6 linked regions of the Ovis aries genome follow. The protein of the gene in region 6 purifies or fractionates together with the protein of the main gene of each other region. This does not show direct contact. Links are inferred from orthologs where the notes say so. Each region holds a gene or a part of one and is shown on either strand. Other genes may lie near its edges.

Region 1 (3,500 bases), on a different chromosome or scaffold from region 6:
GCTGAGTGCAGAAGAATTGATGCTTTTGAACTGTGGTGTTGGAGAAGACTCTTGAGAGTCCCTTGGACAGCAAGGAGATCAAACCAGTCAACCCTAAAGAAATCAGTCCTGAATATTTATTGGAAAGACTGATGCTGAAGTTGAAACTCCAATATATTGGCCATCTGATATGAAGAATTGACTGAATGGAAAAGACCCTGATGCTGGGAAAGATTGAAGGCATGAAGAGAAGGGGACGACAGAGGATGAGATGGTTGGATGGCATCACCGACTTGATGGACATGAGTTTGAGCAGGCTCTGGGAGTTGGTGATGAACAGAGAAGCCTTATGTGCTGCAGTCCAAGGCATCACAAAGAGTCAGACATGAGTGAGCAACTGAAATGAACTGAACTGAATCTAATCTGAATTATTTTTAAGACACAGGAAAGATCAAATAAAATTGAACACTGGAAACCACCAATGAAGACAATAGTTTTAGATATGGAGAAACTGAGGACCAGGGAGAGGCAGGCCCTTGTCTACACCCTGAGTGGAGACAGAGATCCAACTTTAAGGTCCATGTGACTTGCATTTAAACCTCAACTCCACTTCTCACTTGCTGTGAAACTTTGGATAAAGCAAGTTGTCTGAGCTCCCTCTACCCTGGGTTCTTCACCTGTAAAGTGGGGAGCCCTGCATTTCTGGGATCTGGGATGATTGTGGAGATTAACTAGGATAATGTACAGATGGTGCCTGGCTAATGGCTGTTCTGTCCACACTCCCTCCTGGCTCCTAGCCCTGTGTCTTTCACCACATCACAGCTCACCACAAGGGTCCTTCATCAGTGGCACATGGCCAGTCCTGAGGCCACAAATGTCAACTTTCCTGTTTCTATGCCTCCCACTCTCAATGCAACAGAACAGAAAGGTACATACAAATGCCACAGGGTCATTGCTCCGTGTTCCCACGATGCTGAACTTCTTCACATACGAGTTCTCTTTGAGGGCTTCTGCATATGCCTTGAGAGTGGGTATGGGGATATTCTGCAGAGAGAAAGCCAAGTAGTGACCAGCAGTCCTGCCAGGGGCAGGCAAGGCAAAGAGATGGTGCAGTAATTCTCTCACAACTGATGCAACCTGACGCCCAGCATGTCCCTGACCAAAGAGCTGAATGGGCAAAGGGTTCCTGCTTTGCCCTAGATGGCTGAGATTTGGAGAGAACTTTCTGATAAACAGATTGAGAAAGTCTTCCCTGAACATTTCAGATAGCACCTGTAGTTTTCTCTTTGTAGAGACCGAAGGAGCAGGAAAACATCAAGGCAAAGGTGCAGGAGAGTGTTGTGCCGAGAGCTCAGGCCTGTGGGTGTGTGCAATAGGCAATGTTGCTGACTTGCTGTGTGACTCTGGGGGAGTCTCTGCCCCTCTCTGAGTTTGTTTCCGTAAACGAAGGTGGGGCATTGCCCTAGACAATCTTTAAGAGACATCTGTCCCAAAGGGTCTCAGCCCTAGTACACATTGGAGGTGCTAGGGAACTTTCATAAAATGCTGATGCTCAGGCCTGCCCTGGACCAATAAAATCAGAATCTCTGTGGGGAGAGGGACTGGGCACTGGCATTTATTACTTTGTTAATCTCAAGTGAATACCACTGACCTAGTCCAACTGCCTCACATGCAGAGGAGAAACGGGCGAGCCCTTGCCTGAGGCCCCACGGTGAAGGCACAGGGCCGTGGCCAGGTCCCCCCATCCCACACTTCTCTGAGCCCATAGACGTGGCCAGGGTGCACAGTTCTGAATTGTGCCAGTGTCTCCCACAGCGCACATGGCAGATAGTGGAGGCACCCGAATGGATCTCGCATTTCAGAGCGTCACTTTAGCCCCCATGGGAGCAAAGCGCAGGGAGGCCAGGTGGAGGAGACACGGCAGTTGCAGGTTTCCAATCTGATTATGCCAGGAGGCTGGCAGCCACTTAAAAGAAAGCGGAGAAGAAAGGAAAAGAGAGCGGGGAAGTGAGGGGCCCACTTCTTAGCTTACATCCACCCCCTTTGAGAACTAATCTCTCTGGCTCCCGGGCTGAGCAGGTGAGCAGGCAGCTGGGCCTGCTTCTGCATTCCTCCCACAGCCTGCCCAGCCGTCCCCGCTCTGCCTGGTGGTCACACAGGAAGGGTCCAAAGAGATGTGGGCCAACAGCCTAGAGCATGACTTTGGACGCTGGGCCAATGGTTCCCATCTAGGGTTGCAGAATGAGGCTGAATACGTGCATGAGATGCAGGTTCAGGGTTAGGCCCCTCCCCAGGCTTGGGTTACCCCATGAACCTGGTGGGCACCAGGCTTTTCCAGCCTTGAGATCCCTGCAGCCATATGTGTCTGACTCATGATTTATCTCTGAGAAACTCTCAGTGTTGTGGATAAGGTGGTGGGTTTCCAGAGTTGAAGCTGGGTTGGCTGTGGTGAACACCTGGGTCTGATGTCAGGCCCCAAAGGAAACCGAGATGATGGGCTGTGCTGGTTTATACTGTCCTCCTTCCCCAAAGTTTTGCCTCTATTCCTGATCCAGAAGCACCCAGAGTTTAAGCAGGACACTGCTGTCTGTGTGCAGTCTGGTCTGGGCTGTCTGGTTCTGAGTGGACTCGGCTTTCCCCACATTCCCACAACGGGGGAAGTAGAGTGAAGGGGGCCTCACCCGGATGTTGTTGAGGTTGACCTCTTCAAGTTTCGGGTCATTGTTCTTTATTCTCTCCAGTGTTTCTTCCACGTCGGTGGCATTTGGTTCTTCATCAGGCACAGGCTTGTACTGTGTAGGTTTGATCACACCTAGAGTGACCGACAACAGGGAGATGGCTCACAGAGATGGGGCGTCATTTCCTCTCAACACAGGACATCAGAAGGAAGTGGCAGTCGAGCTCAGGGACATGGAAGGCTGGGCCTCTCGGGGGCTACTGAGGGGAGGGTAGGAGGAGGATGGTGAGGGATTGGGCCAGGAGTCTGGGCCCTACTTGGATAATGCCTCTGCCAACTTGCAAGAACTAGGGGAATTCACTAAACTGTCTGAAGCTCGGTGTCCTCACGGTAGAGTGTGGACAGTCGTTCTACCCAGTGGGTTCCTGCGAGGATAAAATGAAGACTGGATGGGAAAGAAACGTGTAGGCCTAACAGAGGAAAGGGTAATTGTGCTTTGGGCGCCTTTATTTCTCTCTGGGGCCAAACTGCCAGCTTGGAACAATGCAGTGGAGCAATTCAGACAATGCGATGTTGGCACAGGAAAGGACAAGACTTGCGGAGCAAGAGAGGCACCCAGAGACAGACCCATGTGGACACATGGACATTTATGATCCGGGTGGAGCCCCAAGCCAGAGGCGAGAGGACGGACTTCGCAAGGAGTGGTGCTGGGACAATGGAATATTGATATACGAGAGTGAAAGCTTGATCTCATTTCACACCGCACACAAACATGAACTCCAGGAGGATTATGAAGTGGAGTATAAGAAGTAAATCTCTAAAACGTACAGAAGAAAATAAAGGA
Region 2 (4,100 bases), on a different chromosome or scaffold from region 6:
AAAATTTTAGTTCAATAGTTCTAAAACAGGCTACTTTACAGTATATGTTTATTCTCATTGAGTGTGTTAACATATGTAGAACTGCATATTTTTCAAATTATTTTAGTATTTTTAACATATAAGAGAAACTGGAAACCAAATTAGATTTACTTCCAGTTTATGAAAGAACAAGATATTTTTCCAAAGCAAAATATTTCAAGGTAATTAAGAAATTAGGCCAATGGGATGTTTTAACATATTCATTTGAGATTAAGTAATTATAATTTAATTATTCACACTCAAACCAGCCAAATTAAAAGACTCTCCCACCCAATTAATTTCCCTGCTTTCAGCTTTATTTTGAAAGGCTCAATTTACAGTTTATTATATTCTCAGAACTGTTTCCCATAACAAGAAAAGGGAATCATTTCTCAGCAAACATTACAATCAAGTTGAGAAAACAGGCAGTTTAAAACCCTTTCCTTCTACTTCAAACTAACTTTATTGAAAAATAATTCACAAATAACTGTTTATTTTTCAGATAATCGCCTGTTACTGATTTTCATTCCAGAGATGCAAGCACTGACATTAGATACAGATTGCATTACAGAAACTGAGACTCAAAAAAGTGAAAGAGAAAGATGTCACACCAAAACCAACATCTTTTTGTTTCCCTGATAGTCAACTACAGAATTCAGAAGGTAAGCAAGGGCCTTTAGGAAATGCCCAAAATATAGAGGATACAGGTTAACTAAAGGCAAGCTTTCAACCGGCTTCACATTTATTAATAGTCCAAATCACTGACAATGACTTAGCTTTACATAACACCCAGTAATTCAAGAACAAAAAATGTTTAACTAACCATTTTCAATAGATATCTTCAGAAGTCTGTATTTTCCATTTCTTGCTCTGGCAAAGATATCTTTAACGTCTTCACTTGCTGTGCAAAAAGATACAGAAAAGTAATATTTATGCATTAATACTTTCTAATGCTACAATAACAATGCAATTGAATAAGGAAAACATGAAATATAATACAAAGAAAAAATCTTGAGTATGCAATATTTTCTTATTAAAAGTCATTTAAATTATAAAACTTAAAAGGTATACCAGACACTGAAAACGGCTTTTGCTGTTGTTGTTGTTCAGTTGCTAAGTCATGCATGTTCAACTCTTCTGTGATTCCCTGTACCGTAGCCCGCCAGGCACCATACCAGAGCGGGTTGCCATTCCCTTCTCCAGGGAATCTTTCCCAACCAGGGATCAAACCTGCATCTCCGGCACTGGCAGGTCGGTTCTTTACCACTGAGCCACCAGGGAAGCCCCATACACAGCTAAGAGACATAAGTATGTTTTAAAAGTATATTAATTCTAACCTGTCCTAGCTACATTAGAATTGGGAATGAATATATTAAAGTTTCTCAAACCCAATAATGAACAAATTACACATCTGAGAAATACCTTTACTGATTTTGAAAATGCTGAGAATCTGCTTTCATTCTCTTCTGGTCTAATTTCAAGTTTACGATAAATAAAAACACTCTCTTCATCAATTCATTTTATACATTTTCATATTTAAAGATGACAATAAACGTCAAATGCCCTATCCTGACTGAAGTCAATAAAATTCCTTCAAGTTTATACTTCTGGTCACACTTTTCTGACTAGTATTTCTCAAAAAGCTGGAGTAATCTCACTGAGCAAATGTATACTTAATAACCTACCCCTTGCGCTATGAAAACTTCAATTTCGTTCTGATTTTGTTCTTGGGGTGTATATTGACAGCAAGAACCACTTTTAATAGTGCTTGTTATTAGACTCAAGCATCAAAGTCAATAATTAGATATCCATGCATCAAAACTAACGCAAACAAAAGAGTGCTTTCAGATTCGAGACTATTTTGCTTTTCTTTGTGTGTGCAGGAGGAGGTATGGGGTGGTGTCAAAGACTTATGAACAAAACACAATTAGATGTTCATCTGGGGAAAAGATTCGTTGTCTATTAACAGGAAGATCTTGTGTTTATACTAGAACTCGTTAAGTGATCGCGAGTAACCCCGGGACATATTATTTGATTCTGATGAGGTGAGAGCTTTCAGACTGCCCATTCGCAAACCAGGAAATAACACAGGTCAATTAAAATTGCACATTCAACTGCCTGAATGGGATAATTATACGATGCCACACAGATCAGACTTTTCAGTTCCCCGTGGAGTACCTAAGAACGACCAAGACGCCTCCTACTTAGGATACATACAACGGTGCTGATGTTCCCATTTTGGAAGAAAGCGCGGAAGAGTTTGGGAAGCATTCTTAGTAGAAATGGAAAAGATTCCGCATCTTTCTTTTTATAATTCAAATAATATAACAACTCTTCTGGACCGTGAAAAAGAAAATTCGCCTGTCTCTTGACAATAAAAGGACCCCGATCGCCTTCACGTCTCCAAGTCTTCCCAACCGGTTAAAGTTGGGTTAAGGTCGGCTGCGGCTGCAGGCACGCCCCCTTCACCCCGGCCGCCGCCGGACCCACTTCCTTCGCTCCGGCGAATTTCGGGTCCGTCCGCAACGTGGCGGCGGCCGGGCCCGGGAAGGGAGGGAGGCAGGCCGAGAGCGCCCGGGACACGGGAGCGCAGAGAGACTCAGAGGCCCGGCTCGCCCCGACACACATTCCCAGTGCTTCGGGCCCGACTCCGGCCCCGCCCGGCCTGCCCGGGGCCTCCGGGGAGCCCCTTCCCCAAGGGCAGCGCCGGCGCCGTTACCTTGGATGCCGGTCTGGTGGGACATGGCGGCAGCCGCGAGCTCCCGGCTCCAGCGCTGAGTGCAGCGAGCGGCCCCGGCGGCTCCAGGAAGTGGCCGCTCCTCCGCCGGCCCCGGCGCGTCATCGGCCTGCGACCCACCGCCGCCCCGCCCCGCTAGGCCCCCGGCGTCCTCGCGCGCCCCCAGCGCTCCCGCCGCCTCTGGTCACCCGGACTGTCTCCCAGCTGCGGGACTGCCTCCCAGCTGCGGGACTGCAGGTCCACACCTTCGGCCCTCAACTCCAGCTACTCCAGCTTTCTGCCTAGGGTCACTGTCCCCGGTGTTTGCCGCCGCTTCTCCGGCTCCACCACCGTGAAGCACCACAGGGCTGGCAAGATAGCTTTCCCTTCTGGGGTCTGCCCTGCCAACGCCTTTCACTGGTTCAGCAAAAGGATGCTCAAAAACGGAAACGAACATTTTACTGAACACAAGTTTTCAGCTTTAAAAAGATGTGCAAGATATCCTTCTTGGTTTACTCTTCTGCTGTGTGTACAATTTAATGTAAAGGGTCCCGCTCCTCCCGATTTTTTAAAAAGGATAGGCAGTTTCCCATCAAAATTTGAAAGGCTTTTAAATTAATTTCAGACTTAAACCTTTTCTTTCTTTAGTTGGGCCCATTTAGAGACAAGGTTTTCCTTTCTCCTCATTCCAAAAAGAAACAGCCACTGAAAGTAAAATTAGCTGATTTGAGTACTCCTCTGTGGTCAGTTCCATCATTCCAAACTAACGCTGCTCTGCTTTCTATTGGTCCTTTAGTCTTAAATCAGGTAATTATTCAAGATTCATTTGTGAGGATAAAGTTGTAGCATATTATTAAAAACTATTTTCCATTCTGTGCTTTTATGAGCATGTGTTTCCATTTCTAAGGATAATTTATTTATTGTCTAAATTTCTGGCTGCACTGGGTCTTTGTTGCTGCCCATGGGCTTTCTCTAACTGTGTGTGTGTGTTGGGGGGGACCCTACGAGTAGCTTAGTTGGGGTGCACAGCCTTCTCATTGTGGTGGCTTCTCTTGCTGCGAAGCACAGGCTTTAAGGCGCATGGGCTTCAGTAGTTGCAGCATGCGTGCTCTAGGGTGCTCAGGCTCCAGTAGTTGTGGCTCGTGGGCTCTAGAGTGTGAGCTCAGTAGATGTGCTGTGCAGGCTATAGTTGCCCACAGTATGCAGAACCTTCCTGGACAGGGATCGAACCCCTTTCACCAGCATTGGCAGGCAGGTTCTTCTCCATTGAACCACCAGGGAAATCCCTCTAAGGATAATCTTGGTAGTTATTTTTGTACTACTTTTCTAGAACTCCTGGATTATAATTTTCTAGGTAGAAAGCTTG
Region 3 (4,022 bases), on a different chromosome or scaffold from region 6:
TGCTGAGCATTGAAAAATCGAAGAAGGGACTGGTGTTAAGGCCCATCTGGGGTGGCAGGAAGATTGCCTTTCTCTGCTAACCAGCACCAGAGTCTGTCACCAGTGACAGGAGGGAAGGGCAGTAAGGAATCTGGTATAAAACACACGAGAAATTAGAGACTTGTGATCATGATTAGAAAATCAAATATTATTTTGCAATACCAAACTTTATAACAGAATCAACAGTATTAAATTTGCACTCCAAATCAGAAAAGAAACAAAACAGTGTAGGAGAAAGCTTTAGAAATGGAAGCAGACAGGAACCAAAGAGAAATAGATCTTTTTTTATACGTTTGCCTAAAACCAGTGGTGTTTGCTTTTAAACTTACTCACATCTTGTCCTTCGCTCACAATAGAAAAATCTTTCTTTCCTTCCAGAGATTGGAGAAGATTGCAGTAAAGGGCAAAATGTATGTGTGTCCTCTGGGATTAGACAGTGGAGACGATTGTAGTAGAGGGCAAAAGGTATGTGTGTCCTTTCGGGTTAGATCCTCCATTCAAAAATGACGGGACCTTAAAAATTATATGGCCTTCGCAACAAGTTTGTGCCTTAATTTCCTCCTCTGTAAAATAGGTATAACAATGGTGCTTTTTACGTGGGACTGAAGACTAAATGAGGCAATATGGAAAAAGGTTTTAGCAAAATGAGTATCATATATCAAGTGCTCAGTTAATCTTAGCTACTATTCTCATTCTGACAATAGCATTCAAGAAGCAGAAAGGAGCTACCAGTGTGCTATGCTACGCCTGCAAGTGGCTGTTGGTGACTCCTGGCTGCTCTGCCACGTTTCTCTCACACACACACATGTATAGGCTGCGCCGGGTATTCGTTGCTACCTGTGGCTTCCTCTAGTTGCAGGGAGTAGGGGCTACTCTTTGTCTTGCTGTGGAGTAAGGACTCTAGAGGGTGCAGGCTCAGTAGCTGCAAGACACCGGCTTCTCTAACTGCCTGAAGCAGGCTTAGTTGCCCCGTGGCTTGTGGGATCTTAGTTCCCCAATCAGGGATCGAACTTCGTCCCCTGCATCGGAAGGCCAATTCTTAACTATTAGACCACCGGGGAAGTCCCTTGTCCGTATTAAATTGTGTGCAGAGATAATGATGTAGTCTGGCAGTCCCACTGAGGTCTGTGTTATTAATGTGTCAAGGTCAGTGACAGGGCAGGACACAGTGCCCGGAAATCTCACTGGGCATTTTGCTTTCGTTACCTGCTAGGTACTCTTGCCTGGAAACTCCCATGGTCGGGGGGGAGCCTGCTGGGCTGCAGTCCATGGGGTTGCACAGAGTCAGACATGACTGAGCGACTTCACTTTCACTTTTCACTTTCATGCATTGGAGAAAGAAATGGCGACCCACTCCAGTGTTCTTGCCTGGAGAATCCCAGGGACGGGGAAGGGCTGCCGTCTATGGGATCGCACAGAGTCGAACACGACTGAAGCGACTTAGCAGCAGCAGCAGCAGCAGCAGCAGGTAAGTTTGTCAGAATTCTAATGCTGAGTTTTGCTTCTTTATGGCAGAGTTTCATTTTGATATGCTTGTGCTTTATTAGCTGACTTTAGAACGGTTTGGTTAATCTTCCTTCTCTCTGGTGGGAGGAAAATATATATATGGTGTGTGTGTGTGAGAGTTTAAGTGGCTTCAGGCTTACTTCCCATATTGGGAAACTTGCCCTCAGTACCAAGAGAGTCTATGAAACAGTCCTTCAGCATTTGTGCAGCAAGCAGAAAAGAGGTGGATTCCCTTCCCAGCTGACTCATTGATCATGGTTTCTGCTGAATGGATTCAACTCAACAAATTTGGAATCACTGGTCAGAGACCAAGGTGAAAGTCCTGGGTGTTCTTTCCTGGGACTTTTATCAAGGAAAATTCAGCCCCTTAGATAGAATAGCAGGTTGGTTTTGAACCAGTCATCAGCGACAGTAATTATCATCCCTGTTTTACTAAACTGAGGGGTCATGAGGTTAAGTAACTTCCCACACACACGTTACTCACACAGCAAGTCAAAGGCAGAGCCTGAGATCAAACTTTGGCAGTCTGGCACCTGAGTCTGTGCCTTTATTTCCCTCTTCCACCTGTCTGCAAGTTAGGAGGTGCCTTTTTATTTTGACCAACTTTTTCGATAGAACTTTCAAATATGCAGATTTAAAAGTCTCTTTTGTTGAATCAAAATGACTTACAATAATTGATTTTAATGCTAAGGTGATTTGTACTCGTAAAAATTTTTTGATTTATTATTAGTTCCTTCAAAATTATTATAGAATTATAATATATTTTATTTCGTGACTGAACAATGAGACAGATGGTAGGAGGCACCCTTTTCCGCCCCTTATCTTCCCGTTGTGCTCCTAGTCATCCCTAAAAACCCAGGCGTCCACTACTTCCTCTGCTACTCCTGCAACAATACAGGCACTCATAACTGCACTCATCACTCTGCGTTGCGATTATTTGAGTATCTTTTATGACCCCTGCTCAGCAGGACAGGATCGATATTTTTCTTCATGTGAGCACTTGTGTAATAAAGTCAACAAAGAACAAATGTTCACTGAACTGTATTTGAGGAAAACATTTCAATAGCTTTCTTTTATGTGAAGTGCCTTTTTTGGCTGATCAGGAAATTTTAATATGAGGGAAATTTCTGGAATTACATGAACACTAATTTTCTTATAAAATTTCTCTTGTTTGAAACACCGAGTGTGAAAAAATGTAGAGTAACTTACCTGCGTTTATTCTAAAGAACTGTAGTCTTTGCATCATGGCATATTTGTAACCCATTCTTCGAACACTAATAACCTTGTGGCTATTCATGCTTATTTACTGTTCACTCTAAAATCTTTTTGACTCAAAGTTTTTAAGAGTTACATGGGATCAACTCGAAATCAACAAATGTATCCTTGCTTTTTTATTTTGCTTTCTACACACTGTCATCCCTCATTATAATTCTATGAAGTGAATGTCACTGTACACAGTATAAAATGTTTTGCATATATGTAAACACCAGAACCTAGGAGTGCTGTGTCGTAGCACAATTATACAAGTAGAAGCAAATACATTTATGCAACATAATGTAAACAGTTCACTGTTTTTTTGCAAGAATAAAAGCAAAATAATTATGTTGAATAGTCTTTAATTAAAATTAGTTGAAAACAAGTATAGCTCTATTATATTATGTTGTAACTCACCTAGCAGTCAATTTCTTCAGCTTTTCAAATCCACCAATGTATGTAATTTTAGCTGTTAAAAGTGTTACTTATTTAGCTTGAATTAAAGCAAAACTTAAGCTTATGCTATCTATTGACTGGTTTCTTAAGTAACTGTATTTTAAATTAAAGTTTGAAGTTTATTTATGCCATTCTCAAATGATTAGATGTGATTTCATATGTTTAAATTATAAACATATTGGTGTTTACAATATTCTTTATTATAAGCAGTATGGATCCTGGATCTCAGATTTCCTAGGAGGCTTCTAGGAACTTGTGGTAAATACTTACTAGAGGATATGAGCTTTCATTTTCTATTTTAATCTTTATTCTTTTAGAAAGAGATATTATTTAATTCTCCTATATTTACATTTTCATATGATATTGCAGAAGAGACAGTGAATTTATGGAACCTAACTTCCAAATTCCAAAAGACATTTTATATTGTGAATCTTTGCCTATAATGAAAGTCTATTGAACCAGCTGAAGCAGTCACAGGATACCGAAAGAACAATTTCCTCTCTTATACTACATTTATAACTAGTTTTGAAGATTTCAAAGAGACAATCTAGAACCAAACTATTTTTGCAAATAGTCTTGAAGAAATTTTTCTCTCATGTGCATGCTTTCATGTGTAAAAGGAAACCATAACTTTTGTGAAATCATCTTGCTTTTCAAATGTATGTTTGTGTTTAAGTGTGTGGCTTGCCCAGTTTAAAAACCACAAGGGGAAAATTATTTAATGGCGTGCAACCACACAGACTTCACAGACTGAGATTTTCTTGTTT
Region 4 (4,015 bases), on a different chromosome or scaffold from region 6:
CTACTCAAGCAGCTCCTCAACTCAAGACCTGCCGTGGCTCCTGGCATCCAGAGGGTCAGGACCCTGCACTCAAAGCCTCTTTAGCCACTCTGCCCACTAGCTCCCAAACACAGAGGCACCCCCCAGGGGGCTGAGCTTTTGCAGGCGCACCTCCCTTGCCTGGACTTGCCTCCCTTGCCAACCCCTCAGCAGAGCGCTAGACTCGGGGGAAGCCCTCTGAGGCTCCCGGGGCCTCAGGCAACAGCCAGCACAAGTCTGGATCTCCCAGGGCCCCCAGGTTTGATTCACCTCCACTCTCCAGGGCAGAAGCTCGACAATGAAAACCCACAAGGAGCCCAGAGAATGCTGGAAAGGACACATCTCCAGGACTGCCCGACACCAAGCCTCGTCCTGAGGCACAGCGTCAGGACGCCACAGTGTGGAAGAGCCAAAAATTACAGCCTCGGGGCTCATCAGGGTGGGACTTGGCGACTGTCTCTTTCAAGGGTTCCAATCCTGAAATTGGGGCAAAACTCTCCCCTACTTCAAAACCTCCAGTGCCTCCCCAGGGGTCTAGATAAAACTCCAAACCCTAACCAAGGCCCCCAGGAGGCGCCGCCTGGTCTCCAGGCCCCTCTCCCTGCGCCGTGCTCTTTCTCCCAGCTCCTTCCTCTCCCTCACACTGTCCCCCGCTCACACTGTCCCTTCCATCTTCGGTCTGAGCGTTCTCGGGGAGGCCTCCTTCATCTGTCCAGACAAGAGCCCGTCACACCCTCGCAGTCCCCTCTGCTCTCCTAACGCTGGCCCCTCCTTCGCAGCTGAAGAAGGGAGGAGTTTGTGGCTCAGCATAAAGAATCTGCTGGCCTATGCAGGAGACCTGGGTTCAATCCCTGGTGTGGGAAGATCCCCTGGAGAAGGGAATGGATATCCACTCCAGTATTCTGGCCTGAAGAATTCCATGGACAGAGGAGCCTGGCAGGCTACAGGCCTTGGTAGCAAAGAGTTGGACACAACTTAGCAACTAAACAACAATAATAATAACTTATATAAGACCCAAGACGGTAAGACCCACGAGGGCTAGGAAAACCTCATTCTTTGCTGATTCTCCGACCCCCAGTCCAGGGCCTAAATAAATATCTGTCCCGTGAAGGCACACGCTCATGCACATGTGAATGGGTGAATGAACCTCTGTTTCACCAGAGAGGAAGCAGTCAGACTCCTGTGAGCATTTGAGGGAAAAAAAAACAGGGCCCCAGTTAAGGAGGCTGGAGAAGTAGGAGATTAAAGTGAACGGTGCAGCCTGCCAGAAGCGAAAACGAGAGCGAGCTTCGAGGAGGAGGAGGAGGCACCCGGGGCTCCAGCGAGCTGGGGCATGGAGAGCTGAGGAAACACCAGGAGGCGTGGACACGGAAGGGTCACTGGGGAGTGGGCAAAAGGCGGGGCCCAGCACAGGGACGGCGGGACGGTGAAGATGCAGAGGGCCCTCAGCTGACGCGCTCAGCGGCTGCGCCCTTCTGCGGAAGTGGGAAAGCAGAAGATGGTTCCTGTGTCACTTGCCAAAGCATGCAGAGAGTACAACCCTTTATGGGGACACAGCGCTCAGGCCATGGGGCTTTGGGAGCTGTCAAGGCTCTGAGTCTCAGACTCGAGAGCATTAGAGCCAAGGCGGGCCCCGCCGGTCCATCTGGGCAGCTGGGGGAGGCCCCTTCGTCTCGTGCCCTTGGGAGGCGGCTGGTCCCCCTCTATGGGAGTCCCAGCATCGGAAGGCTCTTGCATCTGAGCTTGGGGAAAGAGGAACAGCACCAACTGTGGTCAGCTTGTCATGTCACCGCCTGGAAGCCAGCCGGGCTGCAGGATGAGTAAGCCCTGGAGGTACTCGGCCCCTTCTCCTTTCGGCGGTCAAGGGTGATGTCATGACCCAGGGGAGTGTTTCCCAGGCTTTCCACACAGTTACTATCCGAAACTCGCGTCTCTCTGTTTCAGCACTGGAAGCTGGGTTATCCCCCTAGTGATGATCCTTCCCCTTTCTCCAGCTCACAAAGCCCTTTGGCATCTGTGAGCTTATGCAGTCTGCACCACAGCCTTGTAGGTGGGTGGAGGAGACCAATGCACCCATTTCACAGGCAGAGAAACTGAGGCCCGAGCGGGGACCTGAGCCAGGTCTCCTGCTCTGGCCAGAGGACTCTGCACTCCGTGCCCTGCCTCTCCACCTCCTGCGGCGGCGAATCTGATAGTCAGGTGGGCCCCGCCCTGCCAGCCATCCCAGGTGAGTGTGACTCATGCGCCTTCCCTGTGACTCACCCTTCTCACTCCTCCTCCGGTCAGCAAGCCCGGAGCCTTGGCAGCCACACCCCAGCCTTTCTCACCCTTCCAAAGAATCCTGCACCTCCTCCTCACAGGAGTCCACCCTCCCACCGAGGCGCTACAAGCACTTTCCTACCGTCACCCAGCGCAGGAGCAGCACAGCCAAGGGGGGGCCCCAGGAGTCCTGGCACCCAGACGGCTTCGTGCCTCTTCCCCAAGGGATCACGCTTGCCTGGCCTCCCTCTCTAGGTGAGGAGCAGGTGAGGCAAGGGCAGAGTGCTCTCTGAGCTTTACGAGAAGAGCCCCAGGGACTGACTTTGCATCCACGTGTGGCGCCCGGAGGCTGCTTCCCCAGGCCCATCCAGAGCCCCCGGCAGCCAGGCTGGGTTTAGGAGGGCCCAGCGGTGGCTGCACTGCTCTACCTACCTCGTGGGGCTGTGAGTGAAGAGGGCGGCTCCCTCGGAAGGGCTCGGCACCACTGTGGAAGCGCGGCTCGGGGGGTTCCCAGTACCACCTGTAAAGAGAGGGTCAAGACTCCCAGGCTCAGGGGCTCAAGGTCATCTGGTCAGAGCCCATTTCATGCTCCAGCTCCTCCCCAGCCCCCTCACCCCCCATCCAGGGCACATGCCCCTGCCTGCGCACCTCCAGCACTTCCTGCCAAGGCTGCAAACCTTCTATTCAAGAGTCCAGCTGGTTAAAAGAACCCTCACTGGGACGTGCTGGAATTCTCTGCCCGTGCCCCGTTACGCACCGGCCCTAACTCTGCCCTCTGGGCTCACCCGGAGCAGGTCTGGCACCCCGTTTCCCAGGGGCTCCTCGGAGACTTGAAGACGGAAACCCCAGGCCCTCGCGTCTTCTACCCCTTTGCTCCAGCTCTTCCTGAGATCAAGGTGTCTGGTTCCCTCCCCTGGCTTCCCTGATCTACTTCAAATGAACCCTGTCCCTACTGACAGCGCAAGACCCAGAACTGAACACTTGGATGAGCTCTCTTCAGGGCAGGGCAAGCAGAACTCTCACCTCCATCATTCTAGATACCATGCCTCTATTAATACAGCCGAAAATCCCATGAGCATTTAAGGTAACCCCACTGTATGACTGAATTCAGCTTATGGTCAGGTTCAGAGCTGTGGCTTAAGATCGTGAGGTTAGACAAAAGGGCCCTTCATTTAACTAACATGTAACAATCAAGTTACGTCACCTTTCTGAGCCTCAGTTCACTTCTCCGTAAGACAGGAATTATAAGGTAGGTATTAGAACCTACCTAACCTACCCCATGAGGTCATCGAGAGAGTGAGTGAATAAGTAAAGTCGCTCAATCGGGTCCGAACTCTTATGAAGATCAAATGAGATAAAATACGACAAGGATTTTGAATAATGTCTGTCTGTCACCTTACTCTATCGCTTAACTCTTAAGTCTGTTTCTGTAAAGTGTTATCTTTCTCATGCTGTACTTACGCAAGCTGCTTACATGCCATATTCCCACCTCTATGCCTCGCGTTGCTCCACTCTTGCAAGACTGTATTGCCATTATACGCTGACGAGTCTTTCTCGCCCATGAGACCATGGGCTCCATTAAGTTGCTTTGCCTCTGAAGCCTCAGGCCTGGCAAGTGACCCGGCCAACAGGAGGACCCGTGGGTGTAAGCTGGGTGACCAAACGCAGGGCCAGCCCGCGCGCACCCAGAGCAGTCTGTGCAGCCCCAGTCTTTCAGCGCTCACACTTTCAGAGACAC
Region 5 (3,500 bases), about 33 Mb from region 6:
GCACCCTGTGCTACCCTCCTCACCCTTCGGACAGCATCTTTTTGAGCCGCTCGCGTTCAGCGGGGCCCGGGGCATCCGCGCTCTGGCTGCGGAATAGCTTCTCATCGCCGGGGCCATTGGCGCTGACGAGGGGGCTCGGAGGCACCTAAGGGCATGGATAGAAGTGAAGTCACAGTAGGGCGTGGCTTCAGTTAAGGGCCAGTTAGGTCATGGTTGGGGTCAGGGCTGATGTCAGGGGTCATGACTGAGAGGGCGCAGGAGGTCCTTCCCAGCACTGGGATCCAATCGTCCCTCTCCCCTCCTCCCCCACCATCCACGGCCCCCACATGGCCCCTGGGCTGTAGTTTGGCGCCCTGTCCCGCCTCCTTGCCTGCTGGGCTCTCACCAACCCACCAGCAACAAATCTAATGCAGGCTAGCCTAAACCCAGGGAGACAGATACTCATAATCTGCAAATCGGGGAGCAATCTGAAGCCTCGGTGCTATTCCCTCACCGCAATGACCTTTCCTGGGGCCAAATTTCAACAGCTATTTAAAATTCCTATGAGAAACCTACTCTATTAGGCTAAATTCATTATGAATCCACCTGATGCCTGGACCACAGTCCTGAGGGCGGGGACCAGCCTACTTCTTTTATCTTCTTAAGCCCTGTGCCCAGTCCTGGGCCTGGCACACGGTAGGTGGTCAATCAATGATGTTGAATAGGTTAGTGGGGGGAAACGCTCAGGGACAGTTTTTTACCCCACCCCGCTACTTAGGGCTTCCCAGGTGGCTCAGTGGTAAAGAACCCGCCTGCCAATGCAGGAGACATAAGAGACGCAGGTTCAATATCCCTGGGCTGGGAAGATCCCCTGGAGGAGGGCATGGCAAACCACTCTGGTATTCTTGCCTGAAGAATCCCATGAACAGAGAAGCGGGAGGACTACAGTTCATAGGGTCACAAAGAGTTGGACACGACTGAAGCGACAGTATGCAAGCACGCACCACTACTTGGCCACTTCACCTTTCACATTTCCACGCTGCCACGTGAGCTGGCTTTCTGGCCTTCCTTTCAGGCAGGCCTATGACATGCCCCCACGGCACCCACGGCACCCACGACCCTTTTCCACGGTCACGGCTCTAGTTTTACATCATCAGTGAGTGTCTGGTCCTGAGCACCGGCATAGCGTTTAGACCCTTCCCCTCCAGGGCAGTTGAGTTCTGGGACAAGGAGTGCTGACCTGGTGGGCAGTGAGCCCCAGCGCGGGACTGGTGAGTTCTCCCCCATCCTGGGATTTCTCCCGTGCCAGCCTTGCTGCCTCCTTCACTTCCTGGAACTTCTCAGCAAACTGAGGGATGAGGAATAGGAACAGACAGTCAACAAACTCCCAGCCCCCTCCACCAGGGCCCCACCACATGACTCCCACCCAGCACTAGCTTTGTCACTTTGCAAGAGAGGGAAGAAGGCTTGGAAAATGATGCCCAAGGAGCAGAGTGGGTATCCGGCTAGAGGGCAGGGGTGGGGTGTTCACGGAGGCCACCTTGAGAAAGAGATCCCCTTTTCCCCTCAATCAGCTTATCTCAGTAAGGAGAGCCTCAGGTGGGTGCTAATCTGTCTTTCGTGCCTGGGACGCTTGTGAATATCCTTTGTGACAAAGAGAAAGCAGGTCTTGGACTTGGAGCCTCTGACAGGCACCTGCAGCCAGTGGGAAAGTAATCCCCCTGTTCTCATTTTTGTCATAGTTTACATTAATCTCCCATACCTGTTTTCCAGCTAGAGTAGGATATACTTTTTTTTTTTCCATTTTATTTATTTATTTTTGGCTGCACCAAGTGGACTGTGGGATCTCAGTTCCCTGACCAGGCACTGAACCTGGACCATGGCAGTGAAAGCCTGGAATCCTAACCACGAGGCCACCAGGGAGCCCTTTTAAAAAAGTTTTTGTTTATGTATTTATTTGGGGTTGTACTGGGTCTTCATCGCTGCTTAGACTTTTCTCTGGTTGCAGCGAGCAAGGGCTCCTCTCTGGTGGCGGTGCACAGGCTTCCCATTGCAGCTTCTCCTGTTGCAGGGCACAGGCTCCGGGGCACGTGGGCTCAGCAGGTGCAGCTCCCGGGCTCTAGAGCACGGGACCCATAGTTGTGGCGCACGGGCTTCCTTGCTCTGCAGCGTCTAACATCTTCCCAGTCCAGGGATGGAACCCGTTTCTCCTGCGCTGGCAGGTAGAGTCTTCACCACTGAGCCACCAAGGAAGCCCCCCACCTTTTTAAATTTTAAAATAAATTTCCTTAGCTTGAAAGTAATTTTTAAAATATTTATAGCTATACACCCCCTTTGGGTTGTGCAAAGCGGCCAGTGCAATTCACTGGGGGTATTGGGGGTAGGTAGTGTTTTCAAAAACCGTTCCAGGATTTCTCTGGTGGCCCAGTGGTTAATACGCCACACCTCCAGTGCAGGGGGTGCAATCCTCAGGTGGGGAACAAAGATCCCATATGCCACATGGTGTGGCAAAAAAAAAAAAAAAGTCCCAAGAGCAACTGAATACTCATATGTGAAAAAAATACTCCTACTTTATACCGCCTGCAGAAATTAATTCAAGATCTAAAATTTGAAAGGGAAACTAATGCTTCTAGAAGAAAAGAGAAGAAAAGCATCGCAGAGAGCATGAACCATACAGGGAAACAATTCATAAGACAATGCCGAATTCTAGAAACAGCAGAGGGTGGAAGGAGGTGGTGATGAAGGTACTGCCAGGGGTGTGGGGAAGCACTCAGCCCATTAAAGGCACCCAGAGAGGAGCAGGGTGTGTTCAAAATCAAAACAGGTGGCCAGCTGAGCTGGGATGTGGACCAGGGGAGTGGGAAGGGGCTATAGGCTGGTCCAACTCTGTATGCCCATCCTGTAGCTGGGAAGATGGAGGCCCAGCATCTGTCCAGGGTCCCGCAGTGCACACAAGAGAAGACCCAACCCCAGCCCTGCTCCTCCCACCATGTACCCCCGCAGGCCCACCTGAGTCAGATGCTGTTCAGAAGCAAAGCCAAGACCATAGACAGTGTTGGCGCGACTGTCTGCCCACTGTCCAAACTTCTGGGAGGTTTTGGTAAAGGTCATGTTGGGAGTGACAGTGCTGTTGATGATGGCCTGGGGGAAGGTGAAGTCGGGGAGAAAAGTTCACGGGTGATGGAACTGGTAATAATAATCAATAGGAAACCCCCAGAGAAAATCGCCTTCTATTAGCCCTCCTGTGCTAAGTCGCTTTAGTCCTGTCCGACTCTTTGCAACTTTATGGACTGTAGCCCAGCAGGCTCCTCTGTCCATGGGATTCTCCAGGCAGGAGAATGGGAGTTGGTTGCCATGCCCTCCTCCAGGGGATCTTCCTGACCCAGGGATCAAACGTATGTCTCTTAGTCTCCTGCATCGGCAGGTGGATTCTTTACCACTAGCACCACTTGGCTTGAGCCATTTCAGGAGGAAGATGGAGACTCAGAAAAATTCAGAGTATCCCCTGGCCCCCAAGACAC
Region 6 (4,282 bases):
AGGTCACCATGGCCACTCTTGCCTGGACTCTGGCCTTTGGGCGGTGGCGCTTTCTTGGCCTTCCAGACCTAGGCTGCCTCTGCCCTAGCTGAGGTTCTCGTCTCCGGGGACTGCTGGCCTTTCCTTCCCTCTCAGCTCCGGCAGAGAGCTGACCCAGCGGCCTTCCTCCTCCCTAGCTTTTTCTCCACAGGTAGGAGTGGCTCAACATCCATTTTACACAAGAGAAGAGAGAAATGTCTCCTTCCCGGGACCCACTTGGAGGAAGACCAGCTTGGGGCCAGGAAGAAAGGCCGGAGGGGCAAGGAGGCTCAGCCCCTCCTTCAAGCTCCCTTTCCCTGACCGCCAAGGCAGGGTGCTGGGAGGAGACCAGCGAGATGCAGAAGAGAAAGCGAGCTAGGAGAGGAGGCAGAAACGGAAGACAAGGGAAGGGAGGGACGCGAAGGGATGGAGAGAAAATGAAGGCGCGGGGAGGGGAAAGGGGTGGGAAGGAAAGAGGGAGGAGGGAAGAGGGCGAGAGGGAGAAGAGGGCGGGAGAGAGGGAGGTGGGAGGAGGCCGGAAGGCCTGGTCCAGGCCCAGCCCCATGAGGTCAGCACAAGTCACTGCCAAATGGGCCCCAGCCCCTCCCTGCTTCTCAGGATCCCTTCCCTCCTAAAAGGGACACAGGTGGGCTGTGGGGCCAGAAACTCCCCGTCCAACTGTTGCCTGGGCCCCAACCCTGGCAGCTGCCTTCTCCACACAGCTGTCCCACCACCTGTCTGGCTGCCCTAAGCTGCCACTGCGAACAAAAGGCCCTCAGAGACGAAGGATCTGCCCCTTTGCATCCTGCAGCTGGGAAACTGAGGCAGGACTCCACGACTCTGGTTCCCAGACACTGCACTAGCCATCAAGTCACACTTCCCCGGCGTGACCTGTCAGACTCTCCCAGGCTCTCTGTGGCTCTTCCCAAGAACAAGTGTCCTCCCCTTCCATTCTTTACTCCTTGTCTACCCACCTTCAGTCACCTTTCTGTGCTGCAGCCCTGGCCCTTACCTGGTGAAAACCATAGCTAAGTTCAAAGATTTCAGCAGGCCTTCATCCCTGAGCTCCACCCGACCTGCCTTTCCAGCCAGACCTCCATATCCAAACCATACACTTGGATCACACTGGATGGGTCCCTGATGTCCAGCACAGTTCTGGGCATTTCCCACCCTAGGGCCTTTGCATATGAGTCTCCCTTCACAGGAAGGCCAAATCTGCTTCTCCATCCCATGTCCACCCCTGACTGAAATCCCTCAGGGACCCAATGCCAGCTCCCCAGGAAGCCTTGCCCTGCACCTCCCTCCCCAGGGTGCTTACCACACCCCAGCAAGGATGGGAAGAGGCATCTGAAGCTGCCTGGGATCTCACTAGACCTGTGCTTTGGGTGGGTTGGAGCTGGTGAAACCGAAAGGGGGTGGGAGGGAGGGAGGCAGGAATCTCCACCTCCAACCCCTGGAGATAGACACTGTTCCAAACCGTAAGCTTCGTGAAGGTGGGACATTTAACTCAGACTTTCAAGACAGCACAGAGCAGCTCTAGTTGGTATTTGCCATCTAAAAACCATCTCAGCCAGAGAAAGTGGACCGGGGTGAGTGGAAGATGGAATGTAGCAGATCCAGGAAGATTCTGGGTTGAGCTGAGGATGGGGGCTGCAGGGTAGGTGGATTCCTCAGGACAATTACACTCTCAGGATATCAGAACTGGAAGGGCCTTGAGCATCCCGGGTATGGCAGAGCCCAACTCCCTCTCCTGCTTGTCAACAGGAGCAGGGACTCGTGTGGTCATACAGTGAGTCAGGTCACGTCCAGGGTAACACCAGTTCTCACTACATAATCTGCCTTTCCATGGTCCCCTGCTCCCAGCCTCAGGCAGCAGTCTACTCCAGAGTAAGCCACCTGGGTGTGACCTCCCCGACCCTTACTCCCTACTCAGAGGAGGGCAGTGCCAAGCCCCCTTTTGCCCAGATGGTGATTTTATCCAGCACACCCTCCTCCAGCCTCAGTGCAGGGTCTGCTCCTGAGTCTGGAGACCCCACTGTACTCTGGCTCTGTGCTGGGTGCTAGGGGCCCTCATGTCCCTGAAGACTCTCACATTCTTTCTACCAAATGTTTATCTGGGCCCTTGGGAGTGAGCAAATGTGTGTATGTGCGAGGGTGCGTGTGTACATCTGTGAGTGTACCACACACAACCCAGATCGGGGCGGGGGGTGGGGGGTGACGCACGCCAGTGATGAATAATAACTCGCTTGAGCCACATGGATGCTGCTGGGTGGTGGGAGCCCAGGCCTCCGCTGAGCAGGATGCGGGCCAGCAGTGGTTGTGGGAGCTCCGCTTTTTGGAAGGTGGGGGGAAATGGGGTGGAGATAGGCAGCACCCCCAGACTGAAGAGCATTCTGAGGTGGGTTGCGCCTCTCTCCAGGCACGGCCCATATCCCATGGCCGGCTCCTCCACCAGGCCAAGCCAGCCACTTGCCCTCAACTCCTCCCATGATCTCAGCCCCCCTGGGACAGGGCTGGGACAGAGGGTGGGCTGCTTGCCTGCTTAGCCCATCTTGGCCTCTCCTGTGACTGACCCGCAAGACACGAGCGCTTGCTTGTCTCCCTCGTCCATGCCTCCAGGCCTGGCTGCCCGCCAGTGCTGCAGTACTGTGGCATGGATGCCTGGCCATCTTGTCCCCTCCTCCAGCCCCCAGGTCAGTGTCTTCCCAGCATGAGGGTGAGGCCAGCCCAAGTGTGGTCCCTCAGATCTTCCTTCACTTTGTGTTTCCTGCTTGCCAAGGGGAGAAAAGGCCTAGGGAAGAGAATGGGCACTTGCCCCAGGAGAAGAGTATTCCAGGGAGATGACGGTTCCTGAATGGGGCAGCATGGACCCCCTTGGCTTTTCTGCCACTCTGGGGACTCCGGCCCCAGAGCAGGTGGTCCGTCCCCACCCACCACCTAGGGGGAGACAACAGCTGGGGAGGGGAGAGAGGGCAGCCCAGCTCCTCCCCATCCCCGCAGTAGCTGAGAGCCCCTTGCCACTGGGCCACCAGGCCAGGGGCTCCGTGGATCTCCTCACCCCCTCATTCTTCTCAGAAAACTCCCTCCACTCTCTCCACAATGGTCCGCCTGGGGGCTCCCTCCCAGGGACCCCACTTGGCACTCTGGACAAGCAGTTCAGTTCCTTTGGCACGTCCCAGCCTGGGTGCCTAGTCCCTGCACCCAGGGACTAGGGGAGAAGACTCAGCCCTGCCTCCTCGACCCCCAAGGGGCACAGGAGGCACTTGGCGGCGGTGGCCGTGTGGCAGTGAACGTCTTTCCATCACACCCCAACTCGGAGAGGCCCCCCGGTGGGCGGGGCGCCCCGGCCCCAGCCCGCTCCGCTCCGCTCCTCCCCCGCCCTAGCTTTTCCTTTGTGCGGTGGCCGGCTGGGCTGGGCCGGGTAGACAGCTCTGGATCTGCCGGTTCGGTCCCCGCCCGCTCGAAGGTGTCGAAGGTGCCCTTGGCCTCCCGGTGCACACCTGTCCCACCCCGGGGCCCAAGGCGAAGAGGAGGGGGTGGAGGAGCAGTTCTGCAAGGCCAGGAAGCCCCAGGCCACACATCTGGACCCGGCGTCTCTCCAGCCTGCGTCCAGCCACCAGCGTTCCCACCGCGCGGCTGGGGCCGCCTCCGGGTGCTTGGGGACCGCGGGTGCCCCGCCTGGCCCGGCCCGGCCCCTCCCCCGGCGCGCACAAAGGCAGCTCCTCCCTGGCCCTCGCGGGCCGCTGCAGCATTTCGGGGTCTCCTCCTCCCTCCTGGCTACGGGGCGGCGGGGCCGGGTGGAAACAAAGGCGCGGCGGCGGCGGCGCGGGGACAAAGGGGCTGAGGGGCGGGGGCGGGGGGCTCACCAGTCGGCCGCGCTCTCCTCCCGAATCACCTCTTCGTACGCCGCCAGCAGCTCCAGGCGGTGGCCACTGAAGCTCACGCCGGCCATGCTGCGGGCCGGACCGAGGCCGAACGGACAGACGCACGGACGGACGGACGGAGAAGGAGGGAGGGAAAGACGGAGTCGCCGCGCCGCCGCCTCGGAGCCTCTGCAGCGTTGCAAGCCGAGCGAGCCAGCGGCCGGGGGAGGGGAGCCGGCCGGCGGGGGGCGGGGGGCGCTGGCTCCGCCCGGCTAGCTCCCTCCGCGCGCTCGGTCCTAGCGCCGCCCCGGCCCGGCCCTGGGGGAGGCCCGCCCCCCCTTCCCGGCCTGCCCCGGGGCGCCCTCACGCCCCTCGCCCCCAGCCCATGCGCGCCGCGCCCA

The links.
Region 1: the proteins of DBN1 (region 6) and TMOD1 purify together in Homo sapiens (co-immunoprecipitation; 3 studies listed by BioGRID and IntAct, with this or other methods). This does not show direct contact. The link is inferred for Ovis aries from reciprocal best matches to the Homo sapiens genes DBN1 and TMOD1.
Region 2: the proteins of DBN1 (region 6) and TWF1 purify together in Homo sapiens (affinity purification with mass spectrometry; 3 studies listed by BioGRID and IntAct, with this or other methods). This does not show direct contact. The link is inferred for Ovis aries from reciprocal best matches to the Homo sapiens genes DBN1 and TWF1.
Region 3: the proteins of DBN1 (region 6) and HOMER1 purify together in Homo sapiens (co-immunoprecipitation; 3 studies listed by BioGRID and IntAct, counting the BioPlex papers as one, with this or other methods). This does not show direct contact. The link is inferred for Ovis aries from reciprocal best matches to the Homo sapiens genes DBN1 and HOMER1.
Region 4: the proteins of DBN1 (region 6) and GSN purify together in Homo sapiens (co-immunoprecipitation; 3 studies listed by BioGRID and IntAct, counting the BioPlex papers as one, with this or other methods). This does not show direct contact. The link is inferred for Ovis aries from reciprocal best matches to the Homo sapiens genes DBN1 and GSN.
Region 5: the proteins of DBN1 (region 6) and HOMER3 purify together in Homo sapiens (co-immunoprecipitation; 3 studies listed by BioGRID and IntAct, counting the BioPlex papers as one, with this or other methods). This does not show direct contact. The link is inferred for Ovis aries from reciprocal best matches to the Homo sapiens genes DBN1 and HOMER3.

Annotation. Positions count from the first base shown.
Region 1 is NC_056055.1:50,079,208-50,082,707, forward strand, and holds part of TMOD1 (tropomodulin-1), read right to left. Parts: intron 2,792-3,500; coding exon 2,661-2,791; intron 1,024-2,660; coding exon 916-1,023; intron 1-915. UniProt on the Homo sapiens protein: Blocks the elongation and depolymerization of the actin filaments at the pointed end. The Tmod/TM complex contributes to the formation of the short actin protofilament, which in turn defines the geometry of the membrane skeleton.
Region 2 is NC_056056.1:142,936,627-142,940,726, reverse strand, and holds the start of TWF1 (twinfilin-1), read right to left. Parts: upstream 2,801-4,100; 5' UTR 2,763-2,800; coding exon 2,738-2,762; intron 920-2,737; coding exon 842-919; intron 1-841. UniProt on the Homo sapiens protein: Actin-binding protein involved in motile and morphological processes. Inhibits actin polymerization, likely by sequestering G-actin. By capping the barbed ends of filaments, it also regulates motility.
Region 3 is NC_056060.1:10,527,957-10,531,978, reverse strand, and holds the start of HOMER1 (homer protein homolog 1), read left to right. Parts: upstream 1-1,222; 5' UTR 1,223-1,364; coding exon 1,365-1,507; intron 1,508-4,022. UniProt on the Homo sapiens protein: Postsynaptic density scaffolding protein. Binds and cross-links cytoplasmic regions of GRM1, GRM5, ITPR1, DNM3, RYR1, RYR2, SHANK1 and SHANK3.
Region 4 is NC_056055.1:2,266,941-2,270,955, forward strand, and holds the start of GSN (gelsolin), read right to left. Parts: upstream 2,801-4,015; 5' UTR 2,798-2,800; coding exon of another isoform or gene 2,710-2,797; intron 1-2,709. UniProt on the Homo sapiens protein: Calcium-regulated, actin-modulating protein that binds to the plus (or barbed) ends of actin monomers or filaments, preventing monomer exchange (end-blocking or capping).
Region 5 is NC_056058.1:4,095,686-4,099,185, reverse strand, and holds part of HOMER3 (homer protein homolog 3), read right to left. Parts: intron 3,121-3,500; coding exon 2,989-3,120; intron 1,328-2,988; coding exon 1,220-1,327; intron 146-1,219; coding exon 24-145; intron 1-23. UniProt on the Homo sapiens protein: Postsynaptic density scaffolding protein. Binds and cross-links cytoplasmic regions of GRM1, GRM5, ITPR1, DNM3, RYR1, RYR2, SHANK1 and SHANK3.
Region 6 is NC_056058.1:36,671,321-36,675,602, forward strand, and holds the start of DBN1 (drebrin), read right to left. Parts: upstream 2,801-4,282; 5' UTR 2,688-2,800; coding exon 2,596-2,687; intron 1-2,595. UniProt on the Homo sapiens protein: Actin cytoskeleton-organizing protein that plays a role in the formation of cell projections. Required for actin polymerization at immunological synapses (IS) and for the recruitment of the chemokine receptor CXCR4 to IS.